3 linked regions of the Rattus norvegicus genome follow. The protein of the gene in region 1 purifies or fractionates together with the protein of each later gene. This does not show direct contact. Links are inferred from orthologs where the notes say so. Each region holds a gene or a part of one and is shown on either strand. Other genes may lie near its edges.

Region 1 (11,133 bases):
CTAGTATTATAAACATGGTCAAACTCCAGTTTCAGGGGTTCTGATGCCTTCTTCCCACCTCTCTGGGCACTAAGCACATGCCAGGTGCATTTATACACATGCAAGCAAAAACACTTATACACATAAAATAGATACATCTAAAAATGTTTTTTTAAAAAAGACTGCAGTATCCATTCCATACCCAGGAGACAGCATTTTATACCTCCCACTCCTTCGTCTCCTCTTACATTTCTTTCTGTCCCTACTGACAATGTTTCCCAAGCCATGAGTGAGTGAAATACATGTCCCATCTAGGGCTGAGCATACAACGGTCCCTTCTTTCCAAGTGTTTTCAGGCCAGGTGTGGTAGTGCATACCTGCAATCCTGGCCCTCACGAGGCAGAGGCAGGCAGATCTCTGTGAGTTTGAGGCCAACCTGGTCTACATAGCAAGTTTCAGGATAGCCAGTGCTACAAAGAGAGACTCTGTCAATAATAATAGTAATAGTAATAATAACAGTATATTAAAGAAAACTTTTCTATAGTAAATTTTATTGATGAACATTTTACAATCCTATAAATTATATTTGTTGGTTTGCTTGTTTGGAGGGGGTGGGGCATGCCACAGCACAAGTCAGATGACAACTTCTAGGAACTGCTTCTCTCTTTCAACCATGTGGTCATCAAGTTCACAGCAAGCTCCTTTACCTGCCGAGCCATCTCGCTGACCTTTCACCGACGCTTATCTCAACACTTTGGCCAGTTATGAGTCTCGGCAGTATTCACTCTATGTAGATAAGGCTGACTGACCTTTAGCTTTCCGGTGCTGGGGCTCTACGTGTGTGCTGCTAGATACCATTTTTATGTGGGACTGGGGCTCGAACGGGGGGCTTCATACATTCCAAGCAAGCACTCTATCTGCGCTCTGTCTATGACTTCTTGCCATTTTGATTTGCTATTACCGGAGGGATGGTGATGTTGGACACTGTTCACACCCCTGTGGGCTTTTGGCTTTCTTTTGAGTGGTGTTTGTTCATGTCCTTTACTATGGAGTCGAATGAGGGTCTTGCATATTTTTGCTATTAACTGCTTATCTAACCCGTGGTTTACAAATGTCTCCCTCAAGGTCGTTAACAGCCTCTCCACGCCACTCCTTGTGTCCTCCGAGCGTTTTAGATTGGATGGTCCTGGTAGTTTATTTTGCCTCTCGTTCCATTGCTTCTCGGGAGACAGAGTCAGCACTGCCTGTATTAACAGGCTTTCCCTGTCTTCTGGGTGTTCAGGGCTTCAGATCCGCTCAGACCTGTATCACTTTGAGTGGATTGAAACGTGGTGTGAGATCAGGCAGGGTCCAGTTTTATTCTTCACCATATAACTACGGTGCAGTCTTTTGGAGGCCAATCATTTATTACTTCTTACTTTTTGCAGTACTAGGGATGGAAACCAGGATCTTGGGCATGCTAGGAAGGCTCTACTATCTAGCTGTATCTCCCCACTTCCTCTTTATTTTGAGACAGGGTCCCACTCAGCTGCCTGGGATGGCCTTGAACTTGCAATTCCCCTCTTCAGCCCCCCAAGCAGCTGGTATTGTGGATTTGTACCACTGGGTCTGGCTGAAGAACATTTGTTGGCGAGATCAACCTTTCCTTTTTACCTTCTTGGTTGTCCTTGTCAAAAATCAGTTGCTCACGTAAACTTGGGTTTATTTTTGCACTTTCTACCCTTTCCTATTGATCTATGTACCTCTTTTTATAAAGGTGTGGATTTTTGTTACATGCAAAATATAGTTCAGTCAACTCAATTTTTAAGAAAAAGTTCTCGGGTGCAGATAGGTCTCCCAACCCCCTTGCCATCCTGAGTGCGACAGGTCTGCTTCTTTTCAGTTTTAGCATTGAATTCTTGTCACTTCTGTCCCTGTATCAGCAGAGTCCCTGAGATGTGGGTCTGCCCTTTCACCTGCCTCATTCAGGACACTGAGAGAGTACCTCTTGCTCAGAGTTTGCTAGAACTGTGCCCTTTCAGACAGTGGACTTGCAGTTACCAGGAAACTGCGGCAGGGGAAGCAGGTCTGTGTGGTCATCAGTTCCCTCCTTCTTCAGGGGTAAAGAAAACCAACCACTTTGGCCTTTTCCTGGGACACAGTCAGTTCTCTACCTCAACCTGACAAGTGAGTCCAAAAGTCATGGAGTAAGACTCCTACTTTTAAAAAGTAACAGGAGATGTCAAACACTTGGAGCTGCCCGCTGACCACCTCCATGAGAGGAGAAAGAAATTAGAATCTGGGGTTTCAGAGCCTGACCCTGTCTCAACTCTCCACATACCAGTTCTGCTCACCACTGCTTACTTCCCTCTCTCTGGAGTCCCAGCCCTGCTTTCAGAATCTGACCCTGTCTCAACTCTCCACATACCAGTTCTGCTCACCACTGCTTACTTCCCTCTCTCTGGAGTCCCAGCCCTGCTTTCAGAATCTGACCCTGTCTCAACTCTCCACATACTAGTTCTGCTCACCACTGCTTACTTCCCCCTCTCTGGGATCCAAGCCCTCACGGAGCTGCTCACTGCCTGTGCTGAACCCTGCGGTTTCACCTTCTCCCACTGTTTCTAAAGGCTTCTTCATGGAACCTGGGGAATTCTGGTCTGCAGCCTATGCTTACACTCAGAATTCTATTGCTTGGGTTTGGAAAATCCATCCAGATGAGTAACTGTTAGTCCGCCTTTGACAGTGATGCAAGCTTGCTCACGTCTTGAAGCCACATCCTTCCTACTTCCAGTGTCACAGTGACCCCTATAAATTCATCTGGTTTCTCCTTTATCTGTACCCAAAGCTGCTGTCTGGGTGAGTACAGTTTCATGGAGCAGTGTGGGTAAAATGTCCAGGGAAGGAATGGGAGGCTATTTTTTTTAAAGATTTCTTTATTTATTAATATCTAAGTACAGTGTAGCTGTCTTCAGACACACCAGAAGAGGGCATCAGATCCCGTTACAGATAGTTGTGAGCCACCATGTGGTTGCTAGGAGTTGAACTAAGGGCCTCTAGAAGAGCAGTCAGTGCTTTTTTTTTTTTTTTTTTCTTTTTTTTTGGAGCTGGGGACCAAACCCAGGGCCTTGCGCTTGCTAGGCAAGTGCTCTACCACTGAGCTAAATCCCCAGCCCCCAGTCAGTGCTCTTAACCACAGAACCATCTCTCCAGCCCGGGAGGCTATTTTTAATGGCATGATTTATCTTAGACAAGGGAGTTCCTTTAGACTAGTCTAACTTTAAAGTATTTCAGGTATGTTCTGTTTGCTGTTACGTGGTTCGTGCATGTTGGGGAAGTTTGTGTGCATGCACACAGAGAAGAAGCAATCATAGCTTCCTAGGACTTCAGTGGTATCCACTCAGGGCAACAGAGGGTGGAAGGCCAGTGAGGGAGTATGCTGACAGCCCAGGGTGCAGCTAATGTAAAGACCACAGCTATGGTGGTAGCAGAGATCAGAGGGCAGGAAACTTGGGGTGAAGGCCAGGAGCTGAGGGCTCAACTTCTAGGAGGATCCATGGAGCTGAGGCAACAGTCAGCAAGAACCCTGGAGATGACAGAAAGAAAGATGTGAGGTGCTGCAGGAAACTGGAGAGGTGGTGCAAGAACGGACACAAAACAGGGATGGTGAGCTTGAGGCACCTCGAATGTCACCTTGCCGTCACATGAATATCATTTCGGAGGCTGTCACTATCTTCCAGACCCTTTCCTCTACCAGCTTCAGTCTGAGAAGGCCACTTAGTGTCTCTACTACTCAGCAGAAGGAACCAACACACCTCAGTTGGGAAATTAGGTGAGAAAAAGAAAAAGAATCAGGGCAGCAGCATCTAGTCAGGGGCTCTGACTGAATGTGAATCGTGATGCTTGTTATAGGTATGAGATGCTCAAGAACTGTTAAAGGGATACTCACAATCAGTCTTCCTCTTTCTGTGCACTCAATTCCACCCGATCGGATTCTGTTCATCGGTGGGAAATGGAGGGGCATTGAAAGATTGTCTGTCTGTCTGGGCTGAGCATTGAAAGACTGTGAGTGTTTGTTGCTCTGCCATTACTATAGCTGATTCTGCTGGCTCCCTCCTTCCTTTGTTCCTTCCCGTCAGATGAAAATAGAAGCAAGAAACCAGAGCCTTCCATTCAAAGAAATCGGGAAGCAATCTCTTCTGCTTTCTCAGTGACTGAAGGAGGAAGCTGAGGTTGAGAAACTGTGAAGGCCATGTCCAGGTCCCAGACTCATCACCATGGGTTCTGGTCGTACACGGGTCCCGGTGACCTTGTGTGTGCTTGTTCTCTGCATGCCGTATCTGGTTGTGTTAATGCCTTTCTTCTTTTTAATTTCTACAGAGGAACTTTGCTTCCATGGCTCAGGACATGATCCTGGATCAAGCTAAGAGAACTTTCTAGGAAGCCTTTAGCTTGCTCAGCTCTTCCTAAGTCAGAGATGACGATTCACAGAATCAAGTCGTAGTTTTTTTCCTTTGAGTTTTTCGAGTTAAGAAACTTTAAAAACTGTGCCAGTCTATGGGGTACCCTGAGATGTTTCAATATTAGCATCTAGTTTCCTGGATTTCTGCTAACGCCGTTTTCCGGAAGTGGAGACTTTTGACTCTTTTTTTACTCACACGGAGTTTTCATTCCTGCTCTGCCAGCGTGGATCTAAGCCCAAAGACCCTCGCAAGAGGTGCTGATGAAGATGATGAGTGTTCGCTGCAAGCTGGCCCAGTATCTAGAGGACCTGGAAGATGTGGACCTCAAGAAATTTAAAATGCATTTGGAAGATTACCCACCCGAGAAAGGCTGTGTTCCGATCCCCAGGGGCCAGATGGAGAAGGCAGATCACTTGGATCTAGCCACACTCATGATTGACTTCAATGGGGAGGAGAAGGCGTGGGGCATGGCTGTGTGGATCTTTGCAGCGATCAACAGGCGAGACCTCTGGGAAAAAGCTAAGAAGGACCAGCCAGAGTGGAGTGAGTGAGAAGGTTTTTTTTTTTTTTCCTTACAGTAAAGTCCACCGGACACAAAAGGTAGAATTTTAGTAATTGGACGTGTGTAGCTTAGTAACAAGGAAACATATAGTTATGCAACCAACTTCTCATCTTGCACAACTGAAGCTCCCAACACATTAGATGTTAAGTCCCCATTACCTAACCCCATCTCCTAGCAACCACCACTCTGCTTTCTGTCCCTGTGAACATTACCACTATGGGTCTCTCACACAGGTAGAATGATGAAGTGTTTGTCTCTTGTGGCTGGCTTGTTTCACTTAGCGTAATGTCTTCAGATTTCCTTCTTTAAAAAGATTAACAAATTTAATCTTCATTCACATCTTCATTTTACATCGTGAGCATCTCATCTGTGCATATCCGTTTGCTATGATCTGTGCATATCCATTTGCTATGATCTGTGCATATCCATTTGCTGCCATGGAAACTGTGTTTATTCAACATCTTCCTTTCTTTGCTTTTGAGTTAGAGTCTCAAGGATCCCAGGCTGGCTCCAAACTCAATCCTCCTTCCTCTGCCTTCTAACTGCTGGGAGATGATGTCCTTTACTATACAGAAGTTAGCATGTTTGAAATGTTAATTTATTATCATCGGTTTTCCTTCTCCCCTGGTGAGGTATGAGAGGGTGGGAGGGAGCAGTGTGCTTTTTCTAATTCTGTAAAAGCTCCGGTCTTTGCTTTACTCCTGGGGGCCTGTTGTGGTTGGTATCACACTCTCCTTCCCCAACTGGCTCAGAGCAGATGCTTGTCTGCTCTAAACCAGGGAAACAGCAGAAAGGATTCAGAATAACCTGAGAAGTCCCAGGCATCCTCTGCCGAGTAGGAGCAGGGCGGAAGGAAGTAATCACAGGAGATAAGGATGCCTGGGGTGGTGTTATTCAGTAGTAGAATGCCTCCTTGTTATGTACAGAGACCTGGGGTCCATCCCTACAGCACTGGGCCAGTTGGAGTTGAGGAGGTGTGTGGCAAGGCAATGGTGACCCAGGAGAAAGAGATGGAGCTATGAGGCAATCCAATTGCCTGTCATTGTTCCTGTACCGAGAATGGGTACAAGAGGAATGAAGAGTTAATCTCAGCAATAGAAGCCCTGACTGAGCAATTTTAGATCTTTTTCAAATTAAAACGTTAAACCTTTCAGCTATTTATTTTGTGTGCTTGTATGTGTGTGCTAATGTGTGTGCACATGTGGAGGTCAGAGGACAATTTGTAGGGTTTGGTTCTTTTTACCGTGTAGGTCTTGGGGATTAAGCTGTTACTCCCTGAACTGGCTCTTTCTGGCTCTATACTAGGTAGTTGGTTTTGTTTGTTTGTTTTTTGTAAGATTTATTTTGGACTGGATGTAGTAGTACAGGCCTTTATTTCCAGTACTTGAGAGGCAGAAGCAGGTGGATTTATTCAAGTTCGAGGCCAGCCTGGTCTACAGAGCAAGTTCCAGGACAATCAGGACTATGTAATAAAGAGATCAGGTCTCAAAGAAAATCCAAAAAGCAAAACCCAGAAAGCAACACAAATTTTACTTTATATGTAGGAGCGTTCTCCTGCATGTCTATGTGTGCACCATGTATTGGCAACTGAAGAGGCTAGAAGAGGGTATCGTATTCCCTGGAACTGGAGCCACCATGTGGGTGCTGGGAACTGAATCCAGGTCCTCTGGAAGAGCAACAAGTGCTCTTAATCACTGAGCCACCGCTCCAGGAGCCCTGTACAAGGTGGCTTCAGTGGGTTTTGTTTTTCTTTCAATAACCCCATGACATAGTTCCTAGTACTGTTGGTGCTTTCAGGTGAAGGACGAGAGACAGGGCGTGGTTCTAATTACCCAAGGCTCTCCCGTCAGGGCCAGCCAGAGTAAGAGCAAAAGGCCAGGCGAGACTATAAAAGTATAGCCATGTGATGTTGGCTTTTATATCTAGATTTTAGGCATAAAAATTGTCATCAATATTTGATGTTCTTTTGGGGGTTGAAGTGAGATATTATGGGAGAATTGGGCAGAGGTTTGGGGTTGCATGAGTGTTTAGATTTTTGTTTTGTGATTCCATTACCAGTGGTGCTCTCTCCTCTCCTCTCCTCTCCTCTCCTCTCCTCTCCTCTCCTCTCCTCTCCTCTCCCCTCCCCTCTTCTCCCATCCCCTCCCCTCCCCTCCTCTCCCCTCCCCTCCCCTCTCTTCTTCCTCCTCTTTTGTCCATCCTTCTTTAGATCTCACATATCCCAGGCTGGCCTCAAGCTCACTGAGTGGCTGAGGATGACCTTGAACTCCTGATCCTCCTGCCTTCACTTCCTGGGTGCTAAGTATGTGTACTAACACCCCACCTGGCTTATATGCATGCTAGGAAGATATTCTACATCCCTGACATTATCTTCCAGAATAATTCTACATCCACAGGAGTATGTCCGTGTCTTTGATCTGCTTTGTGTGCTTTGTGTGGGAACTTTTGTTATATTCCTAAATTTCCCCTAGGAGGAAAGTCTATACCATTGGGATTCATAGCTCTTGGCTGTAGGTTCCCATTGGCATCACCTTGGCCTTTTCCATGGGTAATAATGCCTAAGCCTCAGCACAGAGTAGAAAGAACTCCTTTGAGTAGGGTATTACCCAGCATTTTCAGACCTCTCCATGTGAGTTCAGTAAGCCATGGTTCTGAACTACTTAACTGACTGACAGTGTTCACTTGTGAAGACCTGGAAATCTAGACAGGACAGCACAGGAAATGACCCTCATGGGTTTCATACGTCCAGCTGAGCTCAGGGGAGGGTGAACCTGTCAGGAGAGCATTGTGACTCTTGCACATAGACCCTAAGTTAAGGTGCCAGAGACAGCCAGGGACAGGTGACAACGGCAAAGGAAACACCGTTTGATCTCATCTGTTCTCTAACGGATTTCTGGGCCTGGGAAAGACATTCTGAGCTTGGGGACGCAGTTCTGTCTAATGATTGACAGCTTCCCTTTGAAAGCGAGGTGAGCGGGGTTGGGGATTTAGCTCAGTGGTAGAGCCCTTGCCTAGGAAGCGCAAGGCCCTGGGTTCGGTCCCCAGCTCCAAAAAAAAGAACAAAAAAAAAAAAAAAAAAAAAAAAAGAAAGCGAGGTGAGCAGAATCATGCCTACTAGGCTTTCAATGCCATAGCTATCAAGATCTGCAGCTCTTGAGCCATGCTTACTCCCCTATCCCCCTACCTTTTTTTCTTTTTTTTTCCTCTTTGAGATGTGACCTCATGTAGCCCAGGCTGGCTTTGAACTCATTGCGTAGCTGAGGATGACTCTGAGGTACTGATTTTCCTGCCTCCATCTCCCAAGTGCTGAGCTTAGAGGGATCTGTTCTCATGCCTGGCTAAGCCACATTTAATTCAGAAGGAATAGGGAGTAGGGGGGCCTTTGACCTACCCCAAAGACTAGACTCCATTCTATCCTTTGTGTTAGGACATTTTATGTATTTTGTGTTCCTGTAAAATTGTAAAAAAGCTTTCTTTTACTCCACACTAGATCCAGCACCTCAGTGCCCCAAGATATTTGGTAGACATCTTCATCTCAGTCAGCAAAGCGTCTTACCCGCTCTGCTCCATCCCATATCACACTGCTGATGGCTACTCTCTGAGCCTGGCAGCAATCTCTCTACCCATCTAGTTTTCAAAGCAGGTTGCCACCATGCCAGAAATATACATCCCAATTCCGTGGCAGCCTAGTGTCTTTGGCCACCACATACTCTCTTAAACTTAAATCACCACAAGAAAGAACACACAACACAATAACCTCTGATCCAATTGATAAGGTATAATTGCCCACCTAAACATACAAAGCCCTGTACACATCCATCCCTTAAGAATATTCATAACAACCTGTAAATGTGCAGAGAGGAATCTCAACATCTGCCTCCATGTTCTCTCCGCTGCTTCTCCTGACTCCTCCAGTCTCCTCCTCTCTCTAAATCTTTTCTCCCGCCCATCCTTCCTTCTCATCCAATGACAGGCCTCGTTCTATCCTGTACCTGCCTTCACCTGTATGACATCCTACAACTTTGTGTTTGTTTTTTTTTTGTTGTTGTTGTTGTTGTTTAGATGATGCATGCACGTCTAATCTCTCCATGGTGTGCCAGGAAGACAGCCTTGAAGAGGAGTGGATAGGTTTGCTGGGATATCTCTCCCGCATCTCGATTTGTAAAAAAAAGAAAGGTATGCATCAACCTGCTGTTCTCAACTTTGTTTTGAGACTTGGGACAGGGGACTAAGGAACTAGAAAGCAGAGACACTTGGCCACTCTACAGGGAAGGAGGCCTGCCTCAGGAACTCCACCTTCACTGAAGAAGCAGATGCACATTTTCATGCCTTCCTTCCTAAAGTCCTGGGGAAAGGGTTTACTGCAAGCAGATATGGGCTTCAGACTAAAGGTATAAAGGCTTGAATAACATTTTCTGGCTGGAGGCTGCAGTGCTGACTTTCTGCCCTATCGTGAGTGGGAAGTGATTGACACCAGAATTTTGGGGACCTGATAACACTTGAGCAATAGGGACAAATTACACCTCCTATTTTTCTTGTATTTTTGGTTGTGAGCCTAGCCTTTAACAAACTAAGGCCCCGTCCATCTGAACCACCTATTTTTCTAAGCCAGTCCTTCCTTTCTCTAGAGCATAAGCCACTGGCTTTCCTTCTAGGCACGTGGCCATGCCTCTGTACAAATTCAGAAAACAGTAATAGATATAATGAGAGATCCCTGGAGAGCACATTGCCACCGGGGCTTATGGACTGCAAGCACATAGGCTTCAAACCAATCACAGAATGGTTGGCTGTTGCCATAACAGTTGCACCACCGCTGCATCAAGGACTACACCTCGCTGTGTACAGTTGAACGTTTGGCGAGCACGTTGCTCTCTATCTAGTTGGCAGTCAGCACTCTGCATTTTGTCATTGTTCTCGAATCCTCATAATTCTTTTTTTTTTTTTTTGGTTCTTTTTTTCGGAGCTGGGGACCGAACCCAGGTAAGCGCTTCCTAGGTAAGCGCTCTACCACTGAGCTAAATCCCCAGCCCCAATCATAATTCTTAATGTTCCTCCTGTAACAGCACAGGCCTGCTGACCGCTTATTGTTGGGGAATAGATGTGTGGGCTCTTCCTGGATTCTGCCTTTCTGTCTCTGCTGCAGATTACTGTAAGATATACAGAAGGCATGTGAGAAGCAGGTTCTACTCCATCAAAGACAGGAATGCACGTCTAGGTGAGAGCGTGGACCTCAACAGACGCTACACCCAGCTCCAACTGGTCAAGGAGCATCCAAGCAAGCAGGAAAGGGAGCATGAACTCTTGACCATTGGCAGGACTAAGATGTGGGACAGGCCCATGAGCTCCCTTAAGCTGGAGCTGCTCTTTGAGCCTGAGGATGAACACTTGGAGCCCGTGCACACAGTGGTGTTCCAGGGAGCAGCAGGCATCGGAAAAACAATCCTAGCCAGGAAGATTATGTTGGACTGGGCCTTGGGGAAGCTCTTCAAAGACAAATTTGATTATTTGTTCTTTATCCACTGTCGAGAGGTGAGCCTCAGGGCACCAAAGAGCCTAGCAGATCTCATTATCAGCTGCTGGCCTGACCCAAACCCACCAGTCTGCAAGATCCTGTGCAAGCCTTCCAGGATCCTCTTCCTCATGGACGGCTTTGATGAGCTGCAGGGGGCCTTTGATGAGCACATCGAGGAGGTCTGCACAGACTGGCAGAAGGCTGTGAGGGGAGACATTCTGCTAAGCAGCCTCATCCGAAAGAAGTTGCTGCCTAAGGCCTCTCTGCTTATTACGACGAGGCCAGTAGCCTTGGAGAAGCTGCAGCATCTCCTGGACCACCCCCGCCACGTGGAGATCCTAGGTTTCTCTGAGGCCAAACGGAAGGAGTATTTCTTTAAGTATTTCTCAAACGAGCTGCAGGCCAGGGAGGCCTTCAGGCTGATCCAAGAGAATGAGATCCTGTTTACTATGTGCTTCATCCCCCTGGTCTGCTGGATTGTGTGCACAGGGCTAAAGCAGCAGATGGAGACTGGAAAGAGCTTGGCCCAGACCTCCAAGACCACGACTGCCGTCTATGTCTTTTTCCTTTCCAGCCTGCTGCAGTCCCGGGGGGGCATTGAGGAGCACCTCTTCTCTGCCTACCTGCCAGGGCTCTGTTCA
Region 2 (11,014 bases), on another chromosome or scaffold:
CTCATAATCTATGAATGGTACTTTACCTTTTCTGTTTTATTTCAGAAGAAACAACTTTGAAATTTCTACTAACAAATCAGACAGCCCTTTAATAATTATATGTCTCCTGACTCAACCGGGGGCCTCAAAAACGACCATATCTCATGGTTCTGGGTGACACTTTACAGTAGGTGAATTAGAGCCCACACCCAGGAAGATGACGTCTACAGCCAGCCCTGCTTCTGCAAGGTCTTGCCTTAGAGGAGGAGAGTACAGTGTTTCTGTTAGACCTGTCAGTGCCTCACTCAAGAACGGGTCATTCTTTCCAGCATCCTTTATTTAGCATTCAATCAAAAGGAAAACAAAACTAAAACATAGTAGGGTTCTGTTGTTCCCCAACTATATACACAAAAACTGTCATCAACAGATGTATTTTTTACATTTTCAAAAGAACAAGACATTTGTGTAAGTCTACAAGGAGGATGTTGTCTGATTCCTGAATGTTCCTAACCAAGCACGGTCTTTCTGCACTGCAGCCATGTCTCACACACACACACACACACACACACACACACACACACACACACACACACACACCCCAGATCATTCTGAGTACTGTGGTAAAGAAAATCAGATCATTCTGAGTACTGTGGTAAAGAAAATCAGAGAGGCGAGCGAACCAAGCTACTGGATTCCCCTCTCTCCACAGTACACAGCTTCCATCCAGACTGTAGGAGAGTCTTAGGGGTTGGGGAGATGGCCAATCAGTTAAGAGCACTGGCTGTGTTTGCAGAGGACCCTGGTTTGGAACCCATATATATGGTGGCTCATAGCGGTAACTGCAATTCCAGAGAACCTGATGCCCTCTACTGGCCTTCTCAGGCACCAAGCTACACATGGTACACTATACAGGCAAACAAGCATATGCTGTGTAATAAAAAGAAATCCTTTTAAAAAAGAATATTATAACTAGTGTTAGTCTTAAACCGTAGAATGTGTTGTGTGGAGGCATGATATCATCATAAGAAATCACACACTGCCCATCTCCAGAGACTGAATAAACCTCTCCCATATCCATGATTTTAAGTGGGCCTCTGCCTTGAGTACATTTAGAAATACAATTAAATTCACAGTAGCTATAACCACAGGTTGCTTTTTAAAGATGCTGTTCATGCATGGGCTACCTTTCTTTATAGAGTTAGGGCATAAAACAGCCCTCTCCTACTTAAAATTGTAGGAAATTACAGCTGTAACTGTAATCCCAGTCCCTGAGAGACTCAGGCAGGATTGCTTGAGCCCAGTGTCCCAGGGTAGCCTGAAAAACACAGAAAAGAGCACTGACTGCTCTTCCAGAGGCCCTGAGTTCAATTCCCAGCAACCACATGGTGGCTGTCAACCATCTGTAATGGGATCCAATACCCTCTCCTGGTGTGTCTGAAGACAGCTACAGCGTACATTAAATACATACATAATACATACATAATACATACATACATACATACATACATACATACATACATACATACATCGTAAAAAAACAAAACAGGAAAACGTGTTCAGAAGCTGAGCTCTCCCTACCTGGAGGGAGCATTCGTATTCCGATGGGATGGGGAGGGAAAGGATGGTGAAAACTTCGTTCTTGTAGGTGCAGGTCTCACACTTTAAACACGTGATGCTGTAACTGAGCTGCCCTTCAAACAGCCGGGTGATGATTGAGGTCTCATGGGCTGGCACTTTCCTGCAGCAGTTTTGGGCTGTTCTTTTCTCACTCGCTCTTCCTCGGCAGTGCTGCATAAAAGGACAAATCCCTCTTATGAAACCGCACTGTCTTGCAAGAAAGATAGGTGCCAATACAAAGATGGCTCAGTGATGGGTAGCACCCGCCTTGGACAGGACTCTTAGTTACATATACTGCTAGCCACCTTTTTAAATCTAAACCTCGTGTCAGTACCTCAAAGTTGACTTGGGGATCACTGAACCTCTCTTTATTGGTTCTTCCCAGTGTAGGCAAGCAGGATAGATCTCCTGTATCTTCCCAGTGTTACTGCCTCTCACTGTCCCCGTGAAGAAGGCAGGGGTTGAACCTAGCTGGTTAAAGGCTCAGGCGTTGACCCTTAGAAAGCGCTGGTTACAGATTGGCAAGCTACACAGGCACTTGGAAGCAGGTTGGCCTTGGGTGGGAAGGTTGAACAGGACCCCCACAGCCCCTAGACTGCTTTCCCTGAGAGGACTGTGATCTCAAGCTTCAGCCAGCATGGGCTACTTTGTAATTAGGACAAAGAGTGTTTAGACACTGTTTTGAACACAGGTAAATTTCTCCTGGTCAGTTGGACCTGGGTTTTGCCTTCCGGTTGGCTTGGAAGGTTCCTACTGTGTTTTTTGAGCTGTTTGATTTCGTTGAACCATTTGGGCTATTATCCTCTGAATGTCTGAGTAAATCTGGAGTACTTTTGGGCTCCTGGGCATCTGCCACATGTCAAAGAAGGCTTGGGATGTGAGTGTTTCAGACATCTATAATATCTGCACATGGAGCAGGGCTGAGGCAAAAAGATTCTGAGTCATAAGACTGGGCTCCACAGGGGCTGGGGATTTAGCTCAGTGGTAGAGCGCTTACCTAGGAAGCTCAAGGCCCTGGGTTCGGTCCCCAGCTCCGAAAAAAAGAACCCAAAAAAAAAAAAAAAAAGACTGGGCTCCACAGTAAAACTCAGTTTCAGAAAAAAGTAAAAGTAAATATAAAAAAATAATTTTAGGATCTGGACAGATGGTTTAGTGATTAAGAGCATTGGTTTGCACTGGGCAGTGGTGGCTCACACCTTAATCCCAGCACTTGGGAGTAGAGGCAGGGGGATCTCTGAGTTGGAGGCCAGCCTGATCTACAAAGTGAGTTCCAGGACAGTCAGGTCTATACAGAGAAACCCTGTTTTGATAAAACAAACAAACAAACAAACACTGGCTGCTTTTCCAGAGGACCTGGGTTCAATTCCCAGCACCCACAAGGATGGTGGCTGGCAATTGACTCTAGTTCCAGGGCACCCGACCCCCTCTTCTGGCTCCAAGGGAACACAGCAAGCAAGTGACACATGACATACATGCACATACAATACTTTTTTTTAAATTTAAGTAAAAAAATCAAACCAACCAATAAACAATATCCTAACCTGGATGTTTTCCTCAGGACCCCCAGCACCAGAGCCATGTCCTACTCACTGCAGGGCAGGCCATGCAGACTGAATACATGTATGTATACGCTTACCTTTTTCAAAGCTTCATGAAGCTCGTTGAGGACGTAAATCAGGAACTCCTGCGCATCTTGCTGTGTCTTTTTCAGAAAGGCTGGGTAAAGGCTGCCAACAGCCGACAGAAATATCTCTGGGGAGACACAGTCTGAGTCGCCAAGCCACATGTCTGTCATCAGGTAGGCAAAGGCCGTGGTGACCTCGCTGCAGTCCCTGAGAAGAAGAGGGGCAAAGGGCAAACGTCCCCCGCTGATTTAATGAAAAGACCCAGTCTGGGTTGGGGGTGGGGGTGGGGGACACGGGATCAGTCCACAACACTGCACCAGAGCCCCATCTACCCTGCAGTCCTCACCCTCCATGTGTTCTCTGGGAACCTATGGTGCCAGGGCTTGTAGCCCTTCACCAGGACTCCAGCGGGTCCTTTCCTCACCCTCACCTGGGGGAGCTGGGGTGGGGCAGACTCGGGGAAGAACTCCTCTTACTTCTGAAGAGCCGTGATGTACTTTCCGGACAGGAAGTACTCCACCAGTGGAGATGTGCTGCAGAGGCACTGCAAGATGGCGTTCATGTAGCAGGTGTTGCCCAGGTTCCGCAGTCCCGTCACGCCCTGGAAGTGTGGCTGGGTCTCAGACTCCGGAAGGGAGTCATAGTCTGCACACTCCGCACTGTGTGGGCCACATGGAAGGAGAGTGTTTCCAGGGAAGAGTGAGTGCTAGTACCAGTCAGGCCCTGGCAACCTCTGAAATAAAAGCGTTCTTTTGTGGCTGGGAGGCAAGGCCCGAACTGACAATTCTCTTCTTTCTCACCTCAGTGACTGAAGTTAGAGCATCAGCCAATCAAGAAGGGTTTTGTTCATTTTGTTTTGTAGTAGAGCCTTCCCTTATATCCCTGGCTTACTCTGTACTGGCTATGTTGACCATGAGGGGCTTGAACTCACAGAGATTGCCCCTGCTTCTGCATCCTGAGTGCTGGGATTAAAGGTATGTACCCTGGGCTGGGGAGATGGTTGAGTGGTTAAGGTCCTGAGTTCAAATCCCAGCAGTCACATGGTGACTCACAAGCATCTGTAATGAGATCTGATGCCTTCTTCTGATATGTCTGAAGACAGCTACAGTGTGCTTTTATATAATAATCAATCTTTAATAACAAAAAAGAAAGCTCTTTAAAAAATAAGAAAGTATGTACCTCTATGAATGGCTAGGAAAGATTCTTAATGGGTTTTGCTCTCAAACTCACTCTCTACCAAGGGCAGAAGGATTGTAGACCAGCCTTCCAGGTCTTAGGGTGGCTTGGCTAAACATGCAAACGCAACTGCTAAAAACCAAAGCCTTTCCTGTCTTAACAGTAGCATCCACAGACATTTTTACTTAGTCTGACTATGGTAAGTACTGAAGACATATTCCCCATTAAATGTCTGCCACAGCTCTCCTGGGTAGAAACAGTCCTTCTAAAATCCCATTTACAGATAGACTAACCGGCTTCTGTGAGTAAGTCATTGGCCCACAGTAGTATTACAAGGGGAAGTACACAGTGATGCAGAAGAAACGGAGATATTTTCTTGTCTATTAAGCTATATGGAATTAGACCATACAGTGAGAATGAATATAACTCTCTAGGTACCACATGATATATACACATGGCAGGAACATATACATTCATACATTAAGGGCACAGATATGTATGTATGCATACACAGATATGTAAGGCATGCACGTACATACATAGAGGAAAAGAGAAAAAACAGACTCAAATCATTGCTGTGCCAATAACTAGTTGTATAAATATGATCTGGTTTCTTATGCCTGCTCATTTATAACAGAAACTGAGTATGTGCTTAATGTGTGTGAGACACAGATGTGGTCTCGAGCACCTGATCCCCCAGCAAAACAGGGAACACTACTACCTTCCTGGCAGGGTTGCTGTGAGGACCATGCAGGTACCACGCAAGGCACTTAGCTTAGATCACATAGTCAATGATATCTTTTTTTTTTTTTTTTGGTTCTTTTTTTCGGAGCTGGGGACCGAACCCAGGGCCTTGCGCTTTCTAGGCAAGCGCTCTACCACTGAGCTAAATCCCCAACCCCCATCAATAGGGGGTTGATGGCACTGCCTTTGATCTGAGCACTCAAGAGGTAGTGGCAGGGAGAATCTCAGACTCTGAGGCTAGCCTGGGGTACAGAGTGGGTTCTAGAAGAAAATAAATAGCTAAGGCTATATAGAGAAACCCTGTGTCAAAAAAAGTGTATATTTATACACACACACATATATATATGTACATATATACATATATGCACATACACATGTGTGTATATATCTATGTGTATATGTATATATATACACATGTATATACACACATATAATGTATATGCACATATATACATCTTTATATATAGTATGCATACACACATATACATGTGTGTAATCATCTATATACATGTATAATATGTGTGTATTGTACATGTATATACATATATACATTTATATATACAGACACACATATATATAGATACCCATGTACACACACACACACACACACACACACACACACACTCACGGCGGGGGCTGAAGAGATGGCTCAGCAGTTAAGAGCGCTTTCTGTCCTTTCAGAAGATTCTGCCTCACTTCCCAGCAACCACATGGCAGCTCACAACTATTTGTAACTCCAGTTGCAGGGGATCTAATGTCCTCTTCTGGCCTCCAAGGGCACATGCCAGCAAAACATTCATATATGTAAAATAAAATCTTTTTAAAGAAGAATTCAATGACTTATTTAGTGCCTTAATGGCAGGAGATGGGGTGGGAGCATCTGCCCAACACGCAGAGATGAGAAACACTGCAGGCTCCAGGAGGCCTCCTTGATCCGTGCAGCTCCCTTTTATTATCTGACGGATTTCAGTAGGGCCGCTGGTCACCTTTGTCTTTGTGACCTGTCTTCCCACGGCCTGAATCTGAAATGCAGGCCCCATGACACAGCAGCCTCCCTCTGTGCCTCTGCTCACATTTACACCCATCTAAGAAGCACTCACTGGGCCAGTCGTTTACTTCACTCAGTGATGCCAGGGAGGCCCCCTGATGGTTAGGAAGTACAAGTTACCTCTTGTGGGTCCTTCATGGGCCAAATCTGGCAGAGCCCTCCCAAATGCAACAGGCGCCACGCTCCTCTGGGTAAGGCCCCCCACTGTTAAGGTTATCTATAAAGGCACAGGGTTTGAGGCTCACAGGATGTAGTAGGCACCGAAGTCATCTGCAGGGAACGGCCGATGAGACGCCATGTTCCTGGGAGCACATCGGGCTTTCACTTCTACTCACAAGCTAACTGTGAGCCTTTTAACTTCATTTCTCCAAAACTGTTCCCCTGGCTTGTTTTTGTTTTTGAACAGTTTGAACGCCTTCCCCCTTTTTCTCTACTTTCCACTTTTCCCTACTTTTCTGACTTCACTGAACTCAAGCCTGGTTCCTCTTGGGTCCTCCCCTGCATCACAATTGTCACCCTTCATACCAAGGTTCTAACGTGTTGTCAAGGGATACCATTACTGGTTTGTTTGAAATGCTTCCGAAAGGTCAACTTCTTGAGAATGAATTGCCCACTTTTCTCCTCTCCCTCCTTTGCTCGGTTTCTCACACATGAGCACACATAGATGTTCATCCCCTAGATTAGGGGACATCGTGTGGCAACACTGCTCCCACGAACCCTAGCAGAACATCTCTCCCCCTATGGAGGAGGTAGTGAGATTTTCTCATGTCAGTGCACACTACAGTGAGGTCACCAGAAGTGTTTACTTGTGGGATGGAGACACGGCTGGCTATGAACACGTTACCTGTAGCACACAGGCTGTCTTAGGGTTTTCCTGCTGTGGCTGTTCACATGCAGTCGTGAACGTGGTCACACCATGACCAAGGCAACTCTTATAAGGACAACATTTAATTGGGGCTGGCTTACAGTTTCAGAGGTTCGGTCCATCATCATCAAGGCGGGAGGGAACAAGGGAGTAACCTGGCAGACAATGGTGCAGGAGATGCTAGGAGATGTTGAGAGTTCCACATCTTCATCTGAAGGACACTAGAAGACTGGCTCCCACGTGGTTAGGAGGAGGGTATCATTGCCCACCCCCATGGTGACACACTTCCTCCAACAAGGTCACCACTACTCCAGCAAGGCTGTACCTCCTAATAGTGCCACTCCCTGGGCCAGGCATAGCCAAACCATCACACGGGCTTAATATAGGATCTACAAGGGGCACACGTGATTCTCTGAGCTTAGACTATTCCACTAGAGGAAAAGGACGGCATCCTCAGCTCTAACTAGAGGAAGCATGTGGCTGTGACCTGGGAAAGCACCTGTGCTGGGGCTGTGCCTCTGGAGTGCCGAGTTGCTGCTGGCCTGCCCTCTGAGCAGATCTACTGGGACAGCCAGGCACCAGCAGGAAGCAGGCAGAGAGCCCTAAGTTTATCCCAGGGAGGGAATTTGAAGACAGGCCAAAGGAAGGATACCATCAAAATCCAACTTGGTGAACCAAGGAACTTCAATGGGGTCAGTTATAGCATATAGATGGGAGATCAGGAGCAAATAGGATTCAGCGGTGTCACTGAAGACGCCAGTATGAGTGACAGCTCATGAAAGCTGGACTCCAGGAGCACACACGCCCACAGGCACTCAACAGGCTGGAGAGTGTCCTTTCTAGGCCTTTTAGTTGCAAGCCACACACTGCACCACACACACACACACACACACACACACACACACTAATATACTATACCAAACAAGCCCCCACAATGACTAAGAAATATGCATTAGATCCATAATGGTTTCCTCTGTGTGAGTGCATGTATGTGTTGCATGTATGTGAATCAGAATTCACACCAATAATCACAACCTTTCTAGATTTATTTTCCCTTCCCATTCAGACTAACTCTAACTGGGAGACACCTAGATTCTGCCAGCCCTAGTATAGCTCCTGTCTCATCAATGCTCAATGCCAGCTGTGTTCCCACTGCCGAGCACGCGACATTCATGCCTCAGTTGCACATCAGGTCACCACTGCCCACAGTGTGCCCTCACCTCACACAACTCACAGGAAACTAAGGGGGCTTCTTCTTAATTTTTCCTTCTCTCGTTGGTGGCTTGATTGAATCTGCCCCTCTTACACGTTTCTTTCTAGTTATCTTGAAGTTGTGCAGCACTTTTAAAATCTACCTCCACGTACTTTAAATATTTTTCTTTTCTATTTTTCTATTTTTCAGAGCTGGGGACCGAACCCAGGGCCTTGCGGTTGTTAGACAAGCGCTCTACCTCTGAGCTAAATCCCCAACCCCAAATATTTTGACAATATGAAAGCGTAGTCTACATTCTTTCTCACATATTCACGTTAAGCTATAGTTGAGTACTGAGGGCGACCATATTATTCCAAACGCCTTGGTTTTTTAGCTCTGGGTGTTATATAGTGGAATTTCATGATGCTAATCTACTTCACCTCTCCTGGGGAGGCTGGGAGGCAAGGGGTTCCGTGTGCTATAACAACAGAAGCTGCTATGTTGAGAATACTCCTGTGCTTAAACATCCTTGAGGTTGCAACTTCCGTTCTTCCTGCTGGATCGGGATTAACGCACCAGGCACTTCCTGGTCGCCTGGGTACAAGCAGGACTGAGTCACAATTCCAAGTCTGTACCGCCCTTTGCAGTCTGCGCAGTCCTTTGTCCTTCGCATTAGGGGCTGAGAGCCCTCCTCCTGTAGGCTTTTCTCGAATATCACAGAAAATGTTTTAATAAAAGGAGAGATCAAATGCAATGACTTTGGAGGTAAGTGGTTCACTTCACCGCTATGAATATGAAACCCATGTCACAGGTAGTGATAAAACCTTGTAAACGTCCCCAGTGAGCTGACCCTCCCTGTTCAGCCGGCCCACCCACCTCAGTCTCCCTGGGATGATAAATTTATGCTTCAACTGTCTGCATCATAGCTGAATTATTTCCTTCAAGAAGACAAGGACCAAGGAGAAATGCTCTCTAGTAAGAGACCACACTGTGAAATTGAGGAGAGTGAGGTTTACCCATACTTAAAATAATTTTTAAAAGTCTTTTTAAAGAAAATTATTTATTATTATATATAAGTACACAGGGACACACCAGAAGAGGGCATCAGATCTCATTATAGATGGTTGTGAGCCACCACGTGGTTGCTGGGATTTGAACTTGGGACCTCTGGAAGAACAGACAGTGCTCTTAGCCACTGAGCCATCTCTCCAGCCCAATAATTTTCAATATGATGCAATTTTGAGATCATTGAGACCTTTCTCCATCCAGATATCTGTGAGCCAGAGACTTGGGTTTCCAGAGTCTAAGCAGCCAGTGAAAGTTAACGCAGGGCTGTGGCTCTGAAATCTCTCACAACTGTGATGAATAAAAGCCTAAGGTGAAAACAATCTTTCTTGGGAGAAATCAAAGTAAGAAACTAGGGAAGAGCAGTGGTGGTGGGGCGGTCCCAAGAGAGAAATAAACGTTGAGTTCATTGTTTAGGGGCTTTTTATAGGAGCTAGAGTCGAAACTGGACAAAGACTGAGAACACCAGTTGAGCCTAGTGGCATGTCTTTAACTAAAGCATTTGGGAGACAGAGACAGGTGGATCTCTAAGTTCAAGGCCGGCCTGGTCTACAGTGCAAATCCCAGTACAGCCAGGGCTACAGAGAAACCCTGTCTCAAAAAACAAACAAACAAACAAACAAACAAACAAACAAGCAAACAGACTGAGAATCCTATTACAATTGGTTGATTCTCTGCACACATCAGGAGTAGGGCAATTGAAGGTTTATATACTCTGTGCATGTTCTTCTGGCCCACTCAGATAAGGAGTGGTCTCTCTCAAATGCCCTGTGATCTCGGACTTGCTTTGTTGAGCTTGACACGTTTGCCGACTGTTAACCTGGTCTGGCAGTGCGGCTCCACCAACCTTGCAAATATTGCCGCTCTGACCTAGATGGGTTCTGTGAGTGTTCATCAGCTCTCTCAATTCTCATGTGGTATAGCATAGCATACTGCCACAGTTACTGGAGATGTAACCACAGTCCCTTCTGATTATCCTTTGTTTACAGGATGGTGTCCTCTGGGGGGTTCTTGTTAAAAGCTGTCCTCACTTACACTTCTATTACATTTAGCTGCATTGGAAGCAAGGGTGAAAGCACCTGCCTTGTGTATGTTTTCCTGGCTCCCTGCAGTTGCCAGTCAACTTACAAACATCAACTTGCTTCCCAGAGTCTCTGGTTTTCCTGATAATTCAATTTAGTTGCCTCGTATCTTAGCTCTCCTCAACATTACCACCTTCAGTCGCCATCTCTGTACCCCTCAGCACTGTAGTTTCGGTGAGTAGGCAACCATTTGCTCAGTAAGCACTCTTACTTGCTAAGACATCTCCCCAGCTCTTCCCTCCCTTCTTAAGACAAGGTCTCAGTATGCAGCCCAGGCTGGCCTTGAACTCATGATCCTTCTGCCTCTGCCTCCAGAGTGCTGGTATTACAGGTTTAAAATATTCACATTAGAATTGATGCGTCTTTGACAGTTTGGAGGTAAGCTCTGTGCTTTTCAACTCTTGCATATTCTATTATTATTTTTCTAATGTATAAGTGTTTTGCTGGCATGCATGTATGTGCACCATCTATGTTCTTGGTGTCCTCAAAAGCCAAAACAGGGTGTCCAATATGCTATGACTGGAGTAATAGGTGGCTGTGAACCAACCCTGGATCCTTTGGAAGAGCAACCGGTGCTCTCTTTTAAACACACACACACACACACACACACACACACACACA
Region 3 (9,379 bases), on another chromosome or scaffold:
CTGAGATTAGTCTTTCAAAGCTACACTAGAATAGTAACACTAAAACTAGTCCATGCACAACTCTTCACCAGCATGGCCAGCATGGCTCTGGGAGAGGGTACAAAGTCCAGGGTTGTTAGAAACAAAGGTGATAGAAGTTGTGTAGACAACTTGGGGACAGGTTACACCTAGATTCATGGCACAGGTTGAAGTGAGCCTTGAAGTTAAGTATAGGTAATTAGGGCATGTAGGGAAGATTGCAATAGCAACCCCTGATAGAGAAATTGTCCACAATAGGGCCCAGAGATAGAGGTGGCTACACGCTTATCCCCTGTCCAGCAAAGGGCACCCTGAGGAAGCCCGTGAGGATAGCCTCAATATACATCATTGTATTTCACTGTCTGGAGACTGGCTGGCCTGGAGCTGTGTAGACCAGGCTGGTCTTGAACTCACTCAGAGATCTGCCTGCCTCTGCCTCCTGAGTGCTGATTAAAGGCATGAGCACAGCCAGCCTAAGCCTAACTGTATTTCTGCTATAGGAATAACTAGACTTCCTGCCCACTGAGAAGGGAAGAATGTGCTAAGACCTATCTCTCACCGAGAAGGGAAGAATGTGCTAAGACCTATCTCTCACCAGGTACCTTTTCTTTAAAAGTGATGATGTGTCAGATGGTGGTGGCCCATGCCCTTAATCCTAGCACTTGAAACAAACAGGTGGATCTCTGAGTTTGTGGCCAGCCTGGTCTACAGAGTGAATTCTAGGACAGCCAGGACTACACAGAGAAACAGTCTAGGGTGGGGTGGTGATAACATGTATCCAACCTTTAAGAAATTTGGAACACACAAGATTTGTACAGATAAACTCTTTTAATTAATCCCAATAAAACTAGAATATATTAGCATATATATGCATATTCACCCCATCTCACAGGTGAGAAAAGTGAGGCACAGAGGTAAGGTCTACACCTGACCAGGGAGGAGACAAAAGCACGATGGAGGCGAAGGCTGCTCTCTCAAAGACTGTGCTATTACCACTGTGCACTCTGTCTCTCATGCTCTCACCTTAGCTCTACCAGCCTGGGCAGGACGGCAAGAACTTGTGCTCACACCCTCGGGGATAGGCACTAGGCAAATATCTCTATCCTTCAAACTCAGAGGAGCCCAGTAAAAGGAAGTGCTACCCACTGTCCACACTGGGAGGAAGACTAGAGAAGCTAAACATCTGCTAAAGGCAGAGAAAGGGTGGAACTGATCCAAGCCCAGCCTGAGCTCTGCCCACTAGGTATCTCATCATCCAGTGTAGGAGGTCAAAGAGAATGGAGACCAGGAGGGGAGAAGTGAAGAGCTGGGATAAGGAGGCTGGAGCAAGGCTCCCAGGGGCTTTCTCAGGCCTGGGAGCTGCTTCTGGCTTTCTTGGAGTCCACAGAGAACCTCCAGGCCCACCCTTAGGGCTGTCTGGCTGGGGAGAGGGACCAAAGGGGCAGAGCACCCAAAGCTCCCAAGAGACCAGCTGCTCTGCTGCTCCCAGGCACTCTGCCGAGGCCTCAGCCAGGCTGCTGGTGGAAGGCATTGGATGCTACGGGACCACTCATCACTATTCTACGCTTGTGTTTCAGGAGACCTGGGTGAGAGGAGGGGCACTGTCAACAGTGCAATGCCTCCTCATCTTCAGGCTTGGGCCAATAGGGATGAGTCTGGTGGGGATACCTCCTTAGGAGCACATAGCATGCAATCTTACCCTGCCCTGTGGGCAGGTCAGAAGCAATGGAAGGGATACAGGGCCCCCAAAAGCTGAAGACCAGAAGATGACATGAACCAGGATAGAAGCAGTGTCTCTTCCCCCACCACATAGTGATGGCGCCTCAGTACAGGTAGCACCTGTACCTGGATAACTCAGTGGACCTCGCCATATCTACCACCCCAAGCCTAGAGGGCATGCTTGGCAGGACTGAGCAAGTGAGTGTGGCATACAGCTGAGGCTTCACTGGGCCAGGTGCCTGCTACGGTAGAGCATCACTGCCAGGAATGCAGCCAAGAGTGCACTGGTGGCCCCCAGCCACTTAGCCCAGGACACTGAACTGGCACAAGGCTCTTCCTCTTCTGGGGACTGCTGGGTGGCTAGTGGCTCAGGGCTTCCTAACAGATCAACACTGGGACTTTTATCCACCTGGATTCGAAAGGATGAATACTCATTCTCCTCTGGACCATGGTTGGGTTCTGAGCCCAAGGAGGTGCTAGGGCTGATGGCAAGGTCCATAGAGCAGGCTGAGAATGGCTCGTTGTCCACCTGGGACACCAGCACCCCTGGCTTGCTTAACTCTGGCCCAGAGTGCAAGCTCCTGGAACTGATATCTGGTCTGGTCAGGCTGCTTCCAGTGGTGACTACGGTTGCTGGAGCCTCCAGGGTCTCCTGCAAACATAAGAAGAGGGGTTCAGGTGACAGGAGATAACCCAGGGTGTGGCAAGGGCTTGAACTAGTATCCCACAATAGCCGAAATTACCCTCTCTTGGGGATAAGACACAGCTGAGTAGGTGACCAAGATGCTGCAGTACCCCTCCAGGGCAGCCCTCTCCCACTCACGGAACTGCTGTGAGCTCCACTAAGAGGGAGCCCTTGCTGGCATGTGAACCATCTTGTACTACCTGGGCCTGAGAGCCACAGGGCAGGCACAAGATCCTGAGGTTTACAAACTTGGTTCCCTTAGGTAGACAGTTGTATGGTCGTGGGGAAAATGGCTATAGGGGTCACTAGGTTGGAGAAGCTACTACAAGCAGGATGCTTGAGAACACTGTCGAATGAACAGGGCACTAGGACACATGAGCCATCACGTTTAGTCCCCACTACTCCAGCTACAAAATGGTACTGCTGACCTTCACTGGGGCTTCAAGCTCCAAATGAGTTAACAGACATGCCAGTGGGGGAAGTCCCATGCCCCACCCTACTTAGTCCGAGCTTAGGCGGGCTCATGACTCTCATTCCTCTTGGAAAACAAGGTGCAAGGGCTGGGTTTGGCTGCTTCCCATCTGTCCCACCACCTTGAAGAAACAGACCAGGGACAGCACAGGAAGTAAAAGGGTCTGAGGGCAAGGACCAGCTGTCTTGGCAAAGTAGCCTGAGCCACTATTAGGAGGAACAAGGACTCACCTTGGCTTGCTTGTTGTTCCTCTCAGGTGGCATTGTGCTGGCACTTGCTTTGGCCACACTAGCAGTCACTTTGGATGGCACTATGCCAGTATATACTGAGTTGATGGGTAATTTTGATGGCGCTATATTAGTGGGCACAGTAGAGGGCGTTGCAGCAGTGGACTTTGTACTGATGGGCAACTTGGAAGACATGGTATTTACTGGTACTGGTTTGATGGAAGGCACTGAGCTGGTAGTCACAGAATTGGTAGGTACTCCCTCTTTAGTGCTGACACAGGTGGCAGCCTTGGCCTGGTCACCTGCTCCCTTTGCAAAAGCTGATCCAGTAGAAGAGGAGGACAAAGTGGTCTTGGCAGATAGAGCTGATACTGTGACCCCAGGCGAGAGGTTTGTCCTCGGGGCAATACGTGGAAGGGGCTGGAAGGAAACAGTTGGAGACACAGGTCCATAGGTTGCTATGGGAACAGAGTCAACATCTACAGGTGGGGAGAGAAAAGCAGAAACAAACCCAAAGGATGGTTTTAACTTAAGGGCTAGAGAAGGGTCCCCATGTCCTTGATCACATGGTCCCTTCCACATCTTGCCTCCCAATCTCCTCCCATGGAAAAGACTCTTGCCCCTCAGCCCTTAACTTGTAACCCTAGTCTGTCCTATCATCAAAGTAAAATGGGCTCTACCTTCATCCACACCTAAGAGCTTAAACCTTGGTATAAATTATTCCTTTTCCATCGACCCTAAGCACTTGCCTCTTCTCTCACTTCAGCCCCTTCTACCTTGTCCTGGGGCATGAGCGTGGATGTCCTGAGACATTCCTCTTACTACTGTCCCTCACTACCTTCTAGCAGGAGCAATCCTGAATCAGGGCAAGCAGTGGCAGGATGGCTCAATAGAACCGCTAACACCAGTCAACTGACCCACAGGCATATGTCCCCAAGGATAGGGACCTAGTAGTCCCAGAAAGGGAGCTTGATTTGGGGAAACAGAAGTAGCAGGAAGTTACAGTGCATAGAGCTGATGACGACAGACTCTTCCCAGAACTCTGAGGATACATTTGCCATCACTGACAAAGGTCAGAAGTGATGTCCGACATCTCTCCCTAAACCTGACAGAAAATCTCCCGGAGCCCGTGCTTACAGACATACTTCAACCAAGTGCCATTTGTGAAAGCAGTTGGGGGCACTGGGACAATTTCCTCTAACCTTTAACTGTTCACATGGCAATCCTAGGGCACTGAGGGCTCACCTGGCACCAGTAACAAACAGAGCAAACAGAACTCAATTTGGGAAGTAGAGGTGAGCCGCTCTAGCCTGGAAGTCGGGGTGGACAAACTCTAGTCCTGAGGGGGACACCAGGTTCTGAACCCTGGCTGACTTATCTGGGGTTGAACCACTTTAGTGATTTTTCTGGTTGTCTTGGTTACTTTTCTACTGCTGTGACCAAGACAACTTATATAAGAAATCACTTAATTTGGGGCTCATCGTTCCAGAGGGTTAGAGTCCATGACCGTCATAGTAGGGAGCATGGCAGCAAGGAGGCAGGCACTGGAGCAGTAGCTGAGACCTTCCATCTTACCCACAAGCATGAGGCGGGGATGGGCTTGGAAGGGGGTGGGGGGGGGAGAGAGAGAGAGAGAGAGAGAGAGAGAGAGAGAGAGAGAGAGAGAGCGCAAAGGCACACTATCTGGGAATGTCATGAGCTTTTGAAACCTCCAAGCCCACCTCTTTGACAAGACTACACCCCATAGTCCTTTCTAAACAGCTCCACCAACTGGGAACCAAGTATCCAGATGTAGAAGCCTATGGGAGCCACTTCATTCAAACCACAGCTGGGAACCAGACATCCCCTTGTGAAGAGCTCCCTCATTAGCTACCCATAAGGTGTCCTTCCCGTCTTCAGGTCCTGGGCAATCACTACCTTCTACCTGAGTGCAGAAATAGCCCTAGCTCTCTCCCACATGCAGCAAGGTACAAAAACTATACACCCACAGGGCAAAAATCACACTCTCCAATGTGATTTGACCAGAATCTAGTAAAAAAAAAAATCTCAGAATCTGGGCTGGCCTTATCATTTGTTTTGACCACAGAACAGAGCAGGAGTAATAAGACCTCTTGCCTTATTACTGAGCCTAAGCTCAGAGCTCTGCCTCTCTTTTATTTACCCAGAGCCTTACCCAGATGCTGTGAGTTGGGTTTTTGTGCTAGAGGAAGAGAGAATGAGGAAGTACCAGCCAATGGATGTAGTAGAACATTATGTATATGTCAGGGAACACCCGACACAAAATCAGCAAGATCAGAAGACCTACCCAGCTGAGCCATGTGCTAATGAATGACTGCATTTTAAGCTGCTGCTGCTGCTGCTACTACTACACACACAGGTATGCACACAGCACACACACACACACACACACACACACACACACTTTTATTTCTACCCTGCCTCCTATCTAAGGAAGGCCAAGTGGTAACTGTAACCCTAACCTTCATGTGAGCGGTCCAGGAGACCCTCTCATACCACACTCTATACATACTTGCTGTGGAGGGGCCCCCCAGTTCGGGTTCTTGCTCGGGATGCTCTCTGGAGGGCTGAGGGCTGAGGGCCGGTGGGTTAGGTGAGGATATCAAAGAGTCACCCGACATCCTTGGAATGGCCCCAAAGTTGGCCTGTGGGGGTTCCTCCGAATTCTGAAATAGAGGAAATAACATAAAGCCATTGCTTCTCCTGGGGCTGAAAAAGGGCAGCATATATTTATGGGGCTCAAGAGCACAAGCTCCTCGGAACCTTTGCTTGGCTTCAGGCTACAGGAAGCCTTCACATATGAGGCTGAAGCTCATCGATTATACTTGCCTAATGTAAGTCTCCATCCCTAGTACCTATTTGGTTTTTTTTTTTTTAAGATTTATTTATTTATTATATATAAGTACACTGTAGCTGTCTTCAGACACACCAGAAGAGGGCATCAGATCTCATTACAGATGGTTGTGAGCCACCATGTGGTTGCTGGGATTTGAACTCAGGACCTCTGGAAGAGCAGTCAGTGCTCTTAACCTCTGAGCCATCTCTCCAGCCCTTTTTTTTTTTTAAGATTAATTTATTTATTTCATATAAGTACACTGTAGCTGTCTTCAGACACACCAGAGGGCATCAGATCTTACTACAGATGGTTGTGAGCCACCATGTGGTTGCTGGGATTTGAACTCAGGACCTTTGGAAGAGCAGTCAGCGCTCTTAACCACTGAGCCATCTCTCCAGCCCACCTATTTGGTTTTTTTTTTTTTAAAAGATTTGTTTATTTATTATATATAAGTACACTGTAGCTGTCTTCAGACACACCAGAAGAGGGCATCAGACCTCATTACAGATGGTTGTGAGCCACCATGTGGTTGCTAGGATTTGAACTCAGAACCTCTGGAAGAACAGTCAGTGCTCTTAACCGCTGAGCCATCTCTCCAGCCCCACCTATTTGGTTTTGTTGTTGCTGTTTTTGTTTTGTTTTGAGATAGGACCTTACGTATCTCACCCTAGCCTTGAACTTACTAAGGATGACTATGAACTTCTGATTCGCCTGCCTCTCTCTCCTGAGTGGCAGGCGTATAGGTGTGTGTCATCATGCCCAATTTATATGGAGCTGGAGACTGACCTCAGGCACGTGTGTATGCCAGACAAGCACCCCAGCAACTGAAAGCTCTATTCCCAGCCTCCCAGGACAACTGTGTTTTCTAAAGATTTATTTATTTATTATATATGAGTACACTGTAGCTGTCTTCAGACACACCAGAAGAGGGCATTGAAACCCATTACAGACGGTTGTGAGCCACCATGTGGTTGCTGGGAATTGAACTTAGGACTTCTGGAAGAGCAGTCAGTGCTCTTAACCACTGAGCCATCTCTCCAGCCCAGTCCCCAGGATGACTTCAAGTGCATTAAAAAAACAAAACAAAACAAAAAACCAGGCACTGCTGAAGTTCCCTACCCATGTGTCTGTAACCACTGTCCTTTCTTCAGCAGTCTGCACAGACCCTATGGCTTCAGACCCATAGTCTAGGTCTAGGGTTTCTTCTATACCCCATTGTTAACTCACTTCATCCCGGTGGAACTAGTTATCTTCCCCTGATACCTGATTTTACTGTTGATAATTAGCTCTGTCACTACCCACCCTTCTTGAGCCCTCATATCACCTCTCTCACATACAAATCTGGTTACCCTCTAGTCTTTTTTACCCAGCTCAACATATCACATGACCATTGCAAAGACCTCAACAGCACACTAAGGGGCCACAGGTCTAGCCAGCAGTTAGGTAGCTAGTTAGGGAACCCCAGCATTCTTAGCAGAAATGAGGCATGATTTTCAGGAGGTAGAAAGGGGCTCTGGGGGGTTGGGGATTTAGCTCAGTGGTAGAGCGCTTGCCTAGGAAGCGCAAGGCCCTGGGTTCGGTCCCCAGCTCCGAAAAAAAAAAAAAAAAAAAAAAAAAAAGAACAACAACAACAAAAAAAAAAAATAAAAAAAAAAAAAAAAAAAAGAAAGGGGCTCTGGAAGGCTGGGTGGGCAGAAGTGAGCAGACAGGCACACAAAAGCAGGCAGCTTAAAACAGATTATGAGGACTTACCTCTACTGGGGACTTTGGTGGCTGGGTGTCCTGGACAGGCTTAGGGTAACCTGGTTTATCTTGGAAGCCACTGTCAGGGATGGTGTGGCCTGCTGCAAATGCAGAAGGTTCGGAAACCGTGGTAGGAATTCTTGGTGACTGCAATGGGTCTAGGGAGTGGAGTGAGGCCCCTAAGGTACAAAGACAGAGTGATCTCCAGAAAGAATCAGAGGTAACTTGGTAATAGAAGAAGCCTGGATGCTTTGGGGCATCTAGTCTCCCTTCAGTAACTCCATGACCCAATGTGGGATGGATTTATTAGACATGATAACCATCACTGGGGAGGGAACAGGAGGGAAAGAAGAACTGGGGAAGACAGGAAAGGGTGCAAGGAAAATGAGTGAGGAGGGGCACAGCCTTTCACAGCCAGACTTTTCAGTGCTCACTCTCTGCTGTCCCAAGACCTTTTCCTCACAGCTGTCATCCCCAAATGACCCCTGCCATGGCCATCTCTGACTCTACCATAGCCATTTCTTTCTTGAGAGAGCACCGTAGCTTCCACAAACAAAAAGACCAACATGGAAAGAAGGGAAGAAAAGAGAAACAAAAGCAAACATGATGTGTTCAAGATTGGCTTGGTTTTTCTTCCCGGATCTTCTCTTCAGGCCCAAACACTAAACTCCCTCTGGTCACATGACTTGGCAGTGACATTGAGAGGAACCAGACGTTCGGCCGTTATCATTAGAAACCAGGATATTCTCAGAGAAACCTTGGGGCAGGGAAGAGAAATGGCGAGTAGGGCAAAGTGACTGGGTGTAGACTCTGTACTCTACACTCTGTGCAGGTGGAAACAGAAGGAATGGAAACAGGTAGGGAGACAAACACCAGAGCCACAAACACGATGGCAGGTGCCTTGTGCTGGGCATAGGGAAGATGTGGAACTCCAGCTAAGTGCAGCCACACATGAGGGATGTGGCCACTCACCCCAGTGTGACAGACTCAAAACTTAAGGAATAGGGCCAAAGGGACATATAGCTAGTGAGTGACTCAGCTGGATCTAAACCCAAGCATATCCTATAATGGAGAGTGATGAAGACAGAAAGGCAGGAGGTCCAAGGGTAAAGGAAGAGGGAGATTGCAGGCCAGAGGGAGAGGCAGTGGCCCAGGAAGAAGGCTAGGGTAGGATGCTCACCAGGAGGCAGGTAGCTCTGATAAACTCGAGTCACTTGCTCAGCCAGCCCAGGCAGCTCACAGATCCTCAGTGCCCGGATGAAGACCTCTACCCAGCCAGGCCGACGCTGGAGCGTATTGAAGAGTTCCCAGAGTGTGCCCTGGTTTCCTAGTTGCTTGTAGGAAGCCCGTAATCGATCCTGAAAGACAGCACAGCCACTCAGGCCAAGTGGCCTAGCCTTTTCTCTACTCAGAAGAGAGCTACTACAAAAGGGACACAAAGAAAGCCACAGGAGGAAGGCAGCTGTCTGACACTGGGTGAGAGGCAGGACAAGGCCACAATGGTAGCCCAAGTATGGTGTGAGGGCAATGAACAACAATAAAGGGAGGTGTGGGAAAGGCTATGGCACGTCAATGTTAGCGGGCATTGTCCCATTAAATGCTATGACCATCCCTACTGTACAGATGAAGAGACAGGATGAGCAGAAGCAAAGCAGCATTGG

Evidence for each region.
Region 2: the proteins of Nlrp3 (region 1) and Usp50 purify together in Homo sapiens (affinity purification with western blotting; 3 studies listed by BioGRID). This does not show direct contact. The link is inferred for Rattus norvegicus from reciprocal best matches to the Homo sapiens genes NLRP3 and USP50.
Region 3: the proteins of Nlrp3 (region 1) and Mavs purify together in Homo sapiens (affinity purification with western blotting; 4 studies listed by BioGRID and IntAct, with this or other methods). This does not show direct contact. The link is inferred for Rattus norvegicus from reciprocal best matches to the Homo sapiens genes NLRP3 and MAVS.

The regions. Positions count from the first base shown.
Region 1 is NC_086028.1:44,823,850-44,834,982, forward strand, and holds the start of Nlrp3 (NACHT, LRR and PYD domains-containing protein 3), read left to right. Parts: upstream 1-4,248; 5' UTR 4,249-4,678; coding exon 4,679-4,961; intron 4,962-9,042; coding exon 9,043-9,156; intron 9,157-10,123; coding exon 10,124-11,133. UniProt on the Homo sapiens protein: Sensor component of the NLRP3 inflammasome, which mediates inflammasome activation in response to defects in membrane integrity, leading to secretion of inflammatory cytokines IL1B and IL18 and pyroptosis.
Region 2 is NC_086021.1:134,482,131-134,493,144, forward strand, and holds the start of Usp50 (inactive ubiquitin carboxyl-terminal hydrolase 50), read right to left. Parts: upstream 6,730-11,014; 5' UTR 6,488-6,729; coding exon 6,435-6,487; exon of another isoform or gene 6,328-6,434; coding exon of another isoform or gene 6,310-6,327; intron 3,955-6,309; exon of another isoform or gene 3,881-3,954; coding exon 3,698-3,880; intron 3,429-3,697; coding exon 3,233-3,428; intron 1,768-3,232; coding exon 1,558-1,767; intron 1-1,557. UniProt on the Homo sapiens protein: Deubiquitinating enzyme that removes conjugated ubiquitin from specific proteins to regulate different cellular processes. Regulates the inflammasome signaling pathway by deubiquitinating 'Lys-63'-linked polyubiquitination of the PYCARD/ASC adapter protein.
Region 3 is NC_086021.1:138,910,578-138,919,956, reverse strand, and holds the end of Mavs (mitochondrial antiviral-signaling protein), read right to left. Parts: intron 9,077-9,379; coding exon 8,899-9,076; intron 7,898-8,898; coding exon 7,728-7,897; intron 5,806-7,727; coding exon 5,652-5,805; intron 3,601-5,651; coding exon 3,125-3,600; intron 2,390-3,124; coding exon 1,961-2,389; 3' UTR 832-1,960; downstream 1-831.